Yarrowia lipolytica: one gene and its partners. The protein of the gene in region 2 interacts with the protein of the main gene of each other region in a pairwise test. Links are inferred from orthologs where the notes say so. Each region holds a gene or a part of one and is shown on either strand. Other genes may lie near its edges. The genes, in order: YALI1_D17983g, YALI1_B21088g and YALI1_E11415g.

Evidence for each region.
Region 1: the proteins of YALI1_B21088g (region 2) and YALI1_D17983g interact in binary tests that used the Saccharomyces cerevisiae proteins (3 or more experiments, as listed by UniProt). The link is inferred for Yarrowia lipolytica from reciprocal best matches to the Saccharomyces cerevisiae genes RAM2 and RAM1.
Region 3: the proteins of YALI1_B21088g (region 2) and YALI1_E11415g interact in binary tests that used the Saccharomyces cerevisiae proteins (3 or more experiments, as listed by UniProt). The link is inferred for Yarrowia lipolytica from reciprocal best matches to the Saccharomyces cerevisiae genes RAM2 and CDC43.

What each region holds. Positions count from the first base shown.
Region 1 is NC_090773.1:1,796,481-1,800,116, forward strand, and holds YALI1_D17983g (uncharacterized protein), read left to right. Parts: upstream 1-1,798; coding exon 1,799-3,058; downstream 3,059-3,636. Other genes in the region: YALI1_D17970g (uncharacterized protein), read right to left, coding at 1-554. UniProt on the Saccharomyces cerevisiae protein: Catalyzes the transfer of a farnesyl moiety from farnesyl diphosphate to a cysteine at the fourth position from the C-terminus of several proteins having the C-terminal sequence Cys-aliphatic-aliphatic-X where X is Ser, Ala, Met, Cys, or Gln.
Region 2 is NC_090771.1:2,106,974-2,110,430, forward strand, and holds YALI1_B21088g (uncharacterized protein), read left to right. Parts: upstream 1-1,914; coding exon 1,915-2,907; downstream 2,908-3,457. Other genes in the region: YALI1_B21070g (uncharacterized protein), read right to left, coding at 1-106; YALI1_B21104g (uncharacterized protein), read right to left, coding at 3,099-3,457.
Region 3 is NC_090774.1:1,139,760-1,143,575, forward strand, and holds YALI1_E11415g (uncharacterized protein), read left to right. Parts: upstream 1-1,774; coding exon 1,775-2,057; intron 2,058-2,370; coding exon 2,371-3,248; downstream 3,249-3,816. Other genes in the region: YALI1_E11402g (uncharacterized protein), read right to left, coding at 1-419; YALI1_E11441g (uncharacterized protein), read right to left, coding at 3,486-3,816. UniProt on the Saccharomyces cerevisiae protein: Catalyzes the transfer of a geranyl-geranyl moiety from geranyl-geranyl diphosphate to proteins having the C-terminal sequence Cys-Ile-Ile-Leu or Cys-Val-Leu-Leu. Acts, among other substrates, on Rho1 and Rho2 and CDC42 proteins.

The DNA of each region.
Region 1 (3,636 bases), on a different chromosome or scaffold from region 2:
TCGAGTAGAGCCTCCTTCAGCAGACTGTAATTGCATCTCTTTTCCATAACTCCGATCGACAGGAGGGACGCCACAAAAGAGCAGTTTTCCAGGCCATCTTGATACAGTGTTTCGAACCCAGACCAGGTGAAGACGGCATCTGACGACGCAAAGACGTGTGGAATACGCAGCCACGACACGTCTCGGTGTTGGCTCTGTCGCAACCCTCCATCAGTTGCGTCCACGTACAGATCATCGCTCTTTTTCAGTGCAGACACCGGAGTCGCGTACTCCCACGGTAAAGCGTATCCGTAATTGGTTCTCGATGACAAGTAGACAATTTTCTCAGCCAGAGAGAGTACCGAGCCACCTTTCTTTATAGAATCGTAGGCATCCATGCTTCTTTTCGCCTGTCGAAGTACCAGTTTGCCAGTTGCTGGAGAAATACTTTTCGCATAGTCCACCAAATCAGGGTACGTCTGGAGAAGCGAAACGAGGATCTCCTGCGCCTTTTTGTCGTCGTTACATGCTATTGCCAGCATTGCCGAGGTGTATATTTCCTCCGGAAGAGACATTTTTCGTGTTTACTTCTTCGTCTGTTCGTGTCGCTCGTATGTCGTCTGTCGATCGTCTGTCGTCTGTCGTCTGTCGCTCGTCTTCCGGATGATTCGGTTAATACTCTTCCATGTACTTTCTGGTTGGTGCAATCGGCGGCTTGTGTTGGGAAGGCTTGAGTGTCAATGCTGGCTGTCAGATTATCGAGATCAGCGCTATCGATGGAACCAGGAGTGCAGCTGTAAGGTGGGTTAAAGTTCCATATAGGAGGGAGACAGAACTCGAAGGGCTCGTGAACCAGACGGTATTGTTGTGTGGTTGGATTGAAGACTGAATTGCCAGACGGTATTTCGGCACCCGATTCCCGAGAATCTATGACATCCCTCACAAATTCTCTGCAGCGAATGTTGAGTGCAGCAGAGCTACTACTCCCCCCTAAACCTCTCATGGCGGTGAAAAATGGGTGTTTTTAGAACGGAAAGACGAAAATTAGTTGCCAATCGTGTCCCTCACGTGATTCTCTTCCAGTTGGTTTTGTCCCCCGCCTTCTAGCTTCCCTACAACCCGAATTACCCTTCTCTTAAACGAACACCTATATGAACAAACGCTGAAACATTCGGTAAGATTTTAGGACATCATACAAGTACTTTCTCTGCCTGTACAGTGCCGTAATATTGCTGTAAGAACGCTCTTTCAAACACATATCTCTTAATAGTATATGAAACCACCCGCTTGAAAGCGAACTGACGATCGTCAGACACTCTCTTTCAGAGAAGGGATACGCTGACGAGCGTCGGACATCTCCTTCAGAGGAGCACAAGAGGGCCCTTCAATTAATATCCAACTACCCCCTCGGCGACCGCTTGCTTCTTATATCACATCGCCAAATCTCTCGCTTTCGCTGACCCCCTAGAGTACAAAAATACGCCTCCATCATCGACACCCCAACGTTTTTTGCTGCATACCCAGCAACTCTCAACCTGGATACCCTAGTTTAGACTGCAGAAAACAGACCCTCTCCGTCCGCTCAATAGTCGTTGTATTCGAATATTAAAGCAATCCGCTCCCTCCTAAACTTGCCACAAACACACCCACGACTTTTTTTCACGTCACGGCCGCTCCATCATCCCCATATCCACCCTCTCTACCGGCATTGACATTTCCCAAACCGTGTACATGAATCCTGCACCTCCTCTCACACCACACCATTCTACTCATCACCCACTTTGAGCCGTCTCAATAAGACATTGACAGTACAAAAACGATGGCTCGTCTACCGTCGTCCATTCTGGACTATATTGCGGCGCAGCAGAACCGACACAAACTGCGCAACATGACACACATTCTCACGTTACCGATCCGAGACTCGTATGTCACGGAAACAAGTGAGCTGCAAAACGCCACAGAAGAACAGATTGTCGCCTGTCTGGAGAAATCACGCGACCAGGTCAGATCTCTGGAGACAGAGAAACACGTGAATTTCCTCAACATGTTTCTGAGCCCGGACGCTCCTCTTCCCGACAAGTTCACTGGACTGGATGCGTCTCGAGCCTGGCTGCTGTACTGGTCAGCAAACGCCATCAGAGTGCTGGGAGGCGAGCTGAGCGACGAACAGAAGAAGGGAATACCCCTGACTCTGGAATCGTTTAAGGAGGACGGTGTATTTGGAGGTGGATCAGGCCAAGACGCACACGCGGCTTCAACATACGCCGCCTTCCTCGCTCTGGCTGATTCGGACGATGAGGATGCCTGGGGTCGCCTAATCAACCCCGAAGAGGTTCTCAAACACAACCTGAAGCTAAAGTCACCAGATGGAGGGTTCGCTTCCAACGTGGGTGGCGAGACTGACGTGCGAGGCACCTACTGTCGATTAGTGGTGGCCTCTCTGACTAACACACTGACAACGGAGCTTACCGACGGCGTCATTAAGTACATTGCTTCATGTCAATCGTACGAGGGAGGTTTCGGTGGTAGCCCTGGCAATGAGGCCCACGCCGGCTATACTTACTGCGCGCTTGCTGCCCTGGCCATTCTGGTGCCTATTAGGGAGATGGATCAGTATGTCAACGTTGAGTCGTGCCTTGCATGGTTGTCTGCTCGCCAGTACCAGCCCGAGGGCGGTTTCTCTGGCCGAACCAACAAACTGGTTGATGCTTGTTACGCCTACTGGGTGGGAGCCTCTCTCGTGCTCATCAATGGAGCTGTGCATGCTGGTCCTTCTCTTTGGGACCGAAAGCAGTTGGCTCAGTACGTTCTCAACTGTTGCCAGCAGTCTGGAGGAGGTCTTCGAGACAAGCCTGGCTGCAAGGCCGATGCCTACCACACCAACTACGCTGCCTGTGGAATCGCCATGTCTCAGTACATATACTTCCCCGAGGGCGAGAATGGTTTGTATTGGCAGGCCACCAGTTGCGATGGAGCCGATACTAGCATTTGTCCTGTCAACCCTGTTTATGGTGTTCCTCTGGGTGTGGCTGAGCGGATGAGACTGTACTTCACATTGAAGGAGGAGAATCTCAAGTGAGCTAAACGACGCAGAATTTTAACCAACGTCATTTCAACTCATTCTGATATATACTTGAAATTAATTAGTACATCATTCGATGTTGCGGACCAACGCACGACATCTACATTACAGCACATACTGTACTGCAAGTTCTACGAGCCACAGTCAAGACTCTTCGGTGGTGTCGTTAGTAGGGACCTTCATTCGGGTGGCATAATAGTATGCCACGGTCTCGCTATACTCCCGCGAACCATTGCCAGAATCTTCTGCAGCAATGTGTGAGTTGTCTGAAAAAGTGGTGCGTCTCACTTCCCACTTTGGGGTGCCCTGGAACGGCTGATTCGTCTCTTTTCAGGAAAAAGCTGGTACCGAAATGATTCGCTGAGCTTGTCGAATTCTCACATCAAGATATCGTAGTTGTACGACAGCTACATGTCCATCGTACAGTGGTTGAAGTTTTCAAGGAGACGTGTCTGGTTGCACACGCGCTTTTCGTTATGTTAACGCGTGTTAGAAGACAAGGTACATGGATTTCTGGCACTCCTCACATGGCAGTCGACTCTTTCACTCATTCCGGTCTATCTCTTTTGTTCTTC
Region 2 (3,457 bases):
CGTTGAACTCTCGCAGACGCCGGGTGATGAGATGCGAGTACTGGGAGCCGAAATCGAGCACCAGAATGGTGTCGAACATGGAGGGGATGTTCACTGGGGCGGGCATTATGAGAGTTGGGTGTGCTCCAGTAGGATGTGGTAGGAAGAGCGTTGGGTATTTAAAAAATTCCAATAGAACAGAGTTGTATGCACGAACCGAAAAAATACTTTATCGACCAGAGCTTAATTTCGATGTTAGGGTTGGGGGTACGGAAAGGTTGTACTTGTGCCTGTAGAGGGCTTGGAAGAGTGGTGATGTTCGATAATGTGAGATGATTGAGACTTGGTATGCTACTTGATGTGGTTTTCCTGGTTGGTTTTGTTTCTTTTGAATCACAATTATTCACTTTCGCCACACAAGACAGTCTCTTAATCGGTATCTGACTCATTAACAATCACCATCCGACTCATCAACATTCACCGTAGTCAGTCACATCGGAGTTCACAACGGTGATAGCCTTGGAAGTGCCTGTGATGCTGTCGGGTACTGGTGCTGTAATCAGATACGTATCTGTCAATCATTTGCTCTTTGGAGGTGGAATTCCATAATTTACTTCATTAGCTGTTTTGTGAGCTGTGGATTATCCTGCTCATCGCTAGAGTTCCATGTCGTTATGATAGTAACTGTCCGTTGGAAGATTTACAAGTACAAGTAATCATCCTTGTAGTACATTAATAGTCATGGGTGAACCATGCAACGATTGTAAGAAGCTGTATCACTAAAAAAGGAGTGCACTTGTATTTGTAAGTTCTTCAATTATCGAGAGTTTGTAGTACACTGGTACTTTCAGTAAAAACATGTAGAGCTAGTTGACTACGCTGTGCTCATCATGTCTGTTGAGATGGTGCGTGTTGTCCATTCAGAACCCCGTTACGTAATATAAAGCACCTCGAAACTTGATCTGAGACTGTAATATCCACCTGAACCATCTTTATCGTGGCTACAGTATGTACTACTCATCTCTCAGGCTTATCAGTCTACAAGTAGTACACCGTGGACACCGACCACACCGTTGCCCTGGCTAATGAATCTGCGTGTTGCATGCATTTTCCTGTAGGCACGAGACCTGAGTCGAATAATGCACGGGTATCAGATGCGCTATAGCAGTGCCATATATGTCATCCATTGGGGGTGATTCGTGAGTTCCAATATCCCAAATCAGAGTCTCAGGCGCCACCCCTATCATTCCTTGATAAGTCTCAGGGAACATCGGGGATCCACTTCTGCTTCCGTAGAGTTTAAGCTGGAGTGAAAAAAGCATGCACCCGCCGAATTTTCGAGACTTCGAGACAATAGAGATGAACTCTGTTAGCCGCACAACTGGCTGTCAAACACAGAGACGTGAGATCAGCAAGCAGTTTTTGTTAATAAGCATTTAAGGTGGGGCAATCAGGTCACTGATCACGTGATTTAGCTCTCAAAGAATGATTCTGTCATATGTTCTGTGCTGGAGGCGGCATTGCTCACTTCCTGTATGTTTGTTGGGTTCCTGAGTAGTTGTGCAAAGATACAACTTGACAGTAATATATTATATTATATATGCTACACTGCCACTTGTTGTTACGGGTTCTCAGAATACCCTCTCCAATAATCCACATCTTTGCTTTTTTTCAGCAGTTTGCCTCACATGATCTCATACTACTCGTACGTACCCGTTCTGGTCGTGCTGTAGTGTACTTGTACACTACATGTACTTGTGGTTGTCCGTATATGGATATCCCAATTGTGAAGCTACATTACTGTACCCTCATACAACACATCACCCCATCCAAACTCTATTTCATACCGCATTCAGTCCACACAATAGTTTCATCACAGCTTAAAAGGAGCTCTGCAAGTGCTAGAAATACTCGTTACAACACTCCCTACACAACATGTCACACAACTTTGACGACCTAGAAATCATCCCACTGCGAGAGAGCGACCACGCGCTGGCCTCCATTGCATACACTGACGAGTACAAGCAGGCCACTGGCTTGCTACGTGCTCTGATGGAAAAGAACGAGAAGTCTTTACGAGGTCTTCAGGTCGCGTCTAATGTGATTGCCCAGAATCCAGCCCATTACACCGTATGGGCATACCGTATCGACACGCTGAAATCATTTGCTGCTGACGTCAAGGCAGGTGCTGCAGATAAAGACGAAAAGCTGGCAGCACTGCAACACGAGCTGCGCTGGGTAGATGACATCGCCATGGCATGCCCCAAGAACTACCAGATCTGGCCTCACCGTCAACAGCTGCTTGAACTATTCGAGGTTAACCCTGATCTGCTGGGAGAGGAGCTGACTCTGGACAGAGAGATTGAACTCATTGACTACATGCTGTCTGACGACTCCAAGAACCACCATGTGTGGTCGTATCGACAATGGCTAGTGACACGGTTCCCCACACTTGTCAACCTCGATTCAGAACTGGCCACCACATCCATCATGATCCAGGAGGACTGCAGAAACAACTCCGCTTGGAACCACCGGTTCTTCTTATTCAAGCTCAAAAACGACAACAAACAGGAGTGGACTACAAAGCCGTCTTTCCAGGAGGAGGTTGAGTTCGTCGCAAATACCATCGACAAAGCACCACAAAACCACTCCCCCTGGCTGTACATTGAGGGTCTCTACTCCCATTACAAGAAGGACATCAAGGATCTGCAGGAGCTGACTTTCAAGTACGCGTGCCTGCCTTCTGATCTGGGAGAAGATGAGGAGCCTCTGATCACCTCGTCGCATGCTCTGGATTTACTCGCCAAGATCTACCTCAAGGAGCAGGAGAAGTCAAAGGCTCTAGAGGCTCTCAATTTGCTCGAAGAAAAGTACGACCCCATTCGAAAGGGCTACTGGGCTTACCGGAAGAAACTTGTCGAGGCCTAGTCATTTCTCCTACGAGATAAATATATATGCATGAACATCTCACAGACATGGAACTTCAAATACCACTGTAGTGAACCCATACAAGCAAGAAAAAAAATCGACCGTTGTAAGTCATATGACTAAAGCGGTCTATGTTGTAATGTCAATTGGTAAATACTTTATCATGCCACACTCCTTCTGTTCTATATCACTTAGATCCTACTTCTAAACCGACCATTGTGTGTGTCTCTGTAGAGCACAGTCTCTTGCCCTCCGCGTGAAACGCGCATGACGCCGTTCTTGAGTGAGACATGATACTGTTTCTGAGCATCTGAGCCCTTCCGCAGCGAGTACACCTCTCTGAGTCGCAAGTATGTGGCTGTCGAATCTATGCCGAGCCATGGGCTTCGAATTTGGTTCCATCCCCATCGTCTGCTCTCGTAGTTCCATCGATCTCCGAGAATATCACCCTGGAAAAACGTTGTATCATTAATGTATCCGGACAGGGTGCTGGAAGCTGGATCCACCACTGAAATGTGAATTTTCATGGCAGTGCCTGTGAAAGTGGCTG
Region 3 (3,816 bases), on a different chromosome or scaffold from region 2:
TCTTCGGGGTAAGTGATGTCGACTTTGGCCGACTTGACTCCGTATCGGTTCTCCATGAACTGAAGAGTCTTGTCGCATGCACCATAGAGAGTGCTACAGTGAACAATCACATCTCCTTCCTTCAAGGGAAGACTTCGAATGACGGTATTGAAGCCCACAGAGGCGTTGGGAACAAATACCGTGTTGAGCTTCTCAGAATTGATCCATTTAGACACCAACTCTCGAGTTTCGTCCTCCATCTTGTAGAGATCCACTCGCATAAACTTATCTGTGTTCTTCTCGATCTTTCGGATCAGCTCGAACCGTTTCTCCTCCACATCTTTGGGAGTTGCTCCGAACGATCCGTGGTTCAGAGGCGTATTCTGCGAGTCAAAGTCCCAGAACTTATGTCGAGCAGTATGTCCAAATGTCGTCGTCATTGCGGATGTATGGAAGTGTTACTGCTGTTGAGATGATGCGGTTGTGGGGTTTATGTATCAGAATTGGGTTTAGCGGGGTAGGGAATGGAGATCATTAACTTGGGCTATTTTGATCCAAATGAAATGAAATAACTCTCAATCGAATCCCCGGATCAATATTATTTCAGCTATATAATTTGTATATCTTCACAATAGACAATTGGCCAACAATGTGTGACAGTCCTCGACCAACAGAGTTCATGACTCAATAAGCGAGATTACTAATAACAGACTAACATGCGGCTGAGGTCTTCCGAACTCTTTGTAAATCAATACCTCCAAGAGTCATAACCGAAGTACCGCTTTAGGACGAGATTTTCAATACTTCTTTGTCATTCTACGTGCTTCTCCTTTTCTCGGTTCAATCTGCATGCTTCGCGGAACGTGTCTCGGAACGTTATGGTACGTGATACCAGTCAAGTACATCCAGTACAGTATGTACAGATATCCACTACAGTACTTGGGATTACAATCTGTACACGATAATATATCAGATACAAAATACAACGTGATATTGTTTTAAATCACAGCCATTTGGTCCAACCAGAAGTCCCACCCTTGCAGATCAACCTACCAATACGCGTCTCGACTCAATGAAGGTATGACTCGGAACAATCAACGGGTTAAATCTGTTTCAACGACATACCATGAAACGCACGATGTCATCAGAGCCGCCCCCTCCAGTTAAACAGCGTGCTTTGCATATCCATTTGGCGCGTTCATCACAGACCCTAGATCTGGAGTTGCACCTGTTCGGTTATCGGTTACCCCGCAGTGTTAATAGAGGGTATTTTTCAGTTCAGAAACAAACGGATAGCCGTTGTCTTAAGCGAAACTGAAATATGGCAGACAGGTGTAAGACAGACGTTCAAAGCAGTCAATAACAGAAGCAAATCGAGTGATGAAAGATGACTAATAGAACAATGGGATTCAGCTGGAAATAGTGGTGTTCCATTACGCTGATTTGGTGTTCCATGCGCCCCGTCGACATCTCCAATGAATATCAACCATCTAAACTAAATCTCCAATGTTAGTTCCCTTTTCCTCCCAATTAATCTTAAAGGTTTACTTAGCTCTTCTTCTGGCATTAAGACACACTTCAGACGCCTCAAAAGTGATTTAATTGCTCCAATATTTTAGTGGATGACCCAGGGCGGTGGTATTAGCAACCTACAAGTGTTGTAATCACTCAATATCTCTTCCAATATCTCCAAAAACACCCCTTTGCACCCCCACCAACCTAAAACCTCTCCAGACAATATGGAACTTTAAATGTCCCCTTAATGGCAAACATCCATTTACACACCACCCGAAAAATGGAGAAAACTAAACACACAAAATACTTCAGCCGCTGCCTGTTTCTGCTGCCAGCACAAGCGACTTCCTACGACGGAAACCGGCTCTCCATCGTCTACTTCTGCCTGAGCGGACTAGATCTTCTGGGAACCCTGGATCAGTTCATCAAGACAGACGAACAGAGAAAGGAGTACATTGAGTGGATCTACAAGCAGGTGGTCGAGTCTGGGGAGGGATTTCGAGGATCCCCCACGTTCAAGCTCTGTGGACATGAGCATAGCGAGTCACGAGAGGGAGACAACAGTGAGTATGGGGAAAGAGGCGGAGATGTGGTTATGGTGATATAGTAGGGGTGATCCTGAATTATGAGGAGTCATCAGGGGGTTGAGAGCATCTTACTGAGATTCCCATGTTGTTACTGCCGATGTCTGTTACATGGCCCGAGACCATTTCCCTGGAATGGACTCACTTTTCTTGATCTGTTGATCCCATGAGTGTGAAATAGATCCAAGTAAATAGAGCCTGGTTTCGGCGCCTCTCAATGTCTGTCTTGTAATCTGCCACATTCTTATAGATACTGACCCCGATTCATCCGCTTCGTTTTACGCTAACTCAGAATATGACCCGGCTAACCTCGCAGCCACATTCTTCGGCCTTGCGTGTCTCGGCATCCTAGGTGACCGGGAGATCTGGACACGTCTATCGCGTGACAAAATTCTTTCGTATGTGGCTTCTTGTCAGCGTGATGACGGCAGTTTTGGATCCTTTTGCATTGATGGAAAGGTGGCCCCAGATTATGATATGAGATATTGTTACCTGGCCACTGGCATTAGACAACTGGCACGTGATACCTCAGAGAGATTGTCTAGTTCGCGAGACATTAACATCCCTGCTATGGTTGGCCATATCAAGAACACAGAGTCGTTTCAGGGAGGCATTGGACAAGGTCAGACGGGCAACGTCACCGAGCCGCACTCCGGACTGACATATTGCGGACTGTCAGCGTTGAAGAACGCCGGCCAACTGAACAACAAGGAGTGGGGAACAACGTTAGAATGGCTTGTGGGCAGGCAGTGTGACGAGAGAACAAGCGAGACGCAGGTGTCCGAGTCATCTAAGAGAGATGACAATGACTCGTCGGAGGAAGAACAAGGAGACCCCCAGACTGGAGGTTTTAATGGCAGAGTTGGAAAACTGGCAGACACATGCTACTCATTCTGGGTGGGTGCTTCATTGGCCAGTCTGGGAGGTACGAATTATGTTTCGGCTGATCTGGCCCGTGAATATCTTCTCAACAACACTCAGAACACACTTCTGGGTGGCTTTGGTAAGACCCCCGGCGAGATTCCAGATCCTTTGCATTCTTATCTCGGCGTTTGTGCCCTGAGCATCTTTGGACAGCCAGGTTTGGGTAAGGTTGTTCCTGAGCTTTGCATTAGTGAGAAGGCCTTTGAAACGTTGACTGGAGGAGATAGCACGAGTGTGGCTGTATGAGTTATGTTAATGGAACCTCTCTGATACGCGATACAACTAATAACGAGATGGCACACACCAAGTCCTCAATGTTGAGCTGCAAGACATTTCGAATTGTAGCCTTTTGTAGTCATCAGAAATATACAATAAATTACATATTTATATACATGTCCAGGAGGAGTAGCAATGTAGATGCAATGTAGATGCAGTTTTACCGCTGGTGCTAAGATAGCGATGGAGATCACGGGCTGTTGTCACCTAAAGTTGAGGTCCTGGAAGATTCATTCTCTCGAACCGCTTGACAAGATCTTCGTAAATGCACCAGGAAATACCGGCCTGGCACGCTTTTCTGCAAATTCGCAGCGCCAGGCCTCTAAACAGCGCCTGAATACCTTCATGCTGTATAATGGTCTTAACGGAGGTGAGGAAGTTGGGGTACTCTTTGGGGGCCAATTGCATTCGAGTTTTCACAGTGTCGAAGGGATTAGTACAGGTGGTGGCAATGCCTGCAGACGTTGCTGCTGCCACGGAGTTGATCATGGCAGAAGACCATGAGCTGTAGTACTTTTCCGAATGGCTAGAGGTTGTG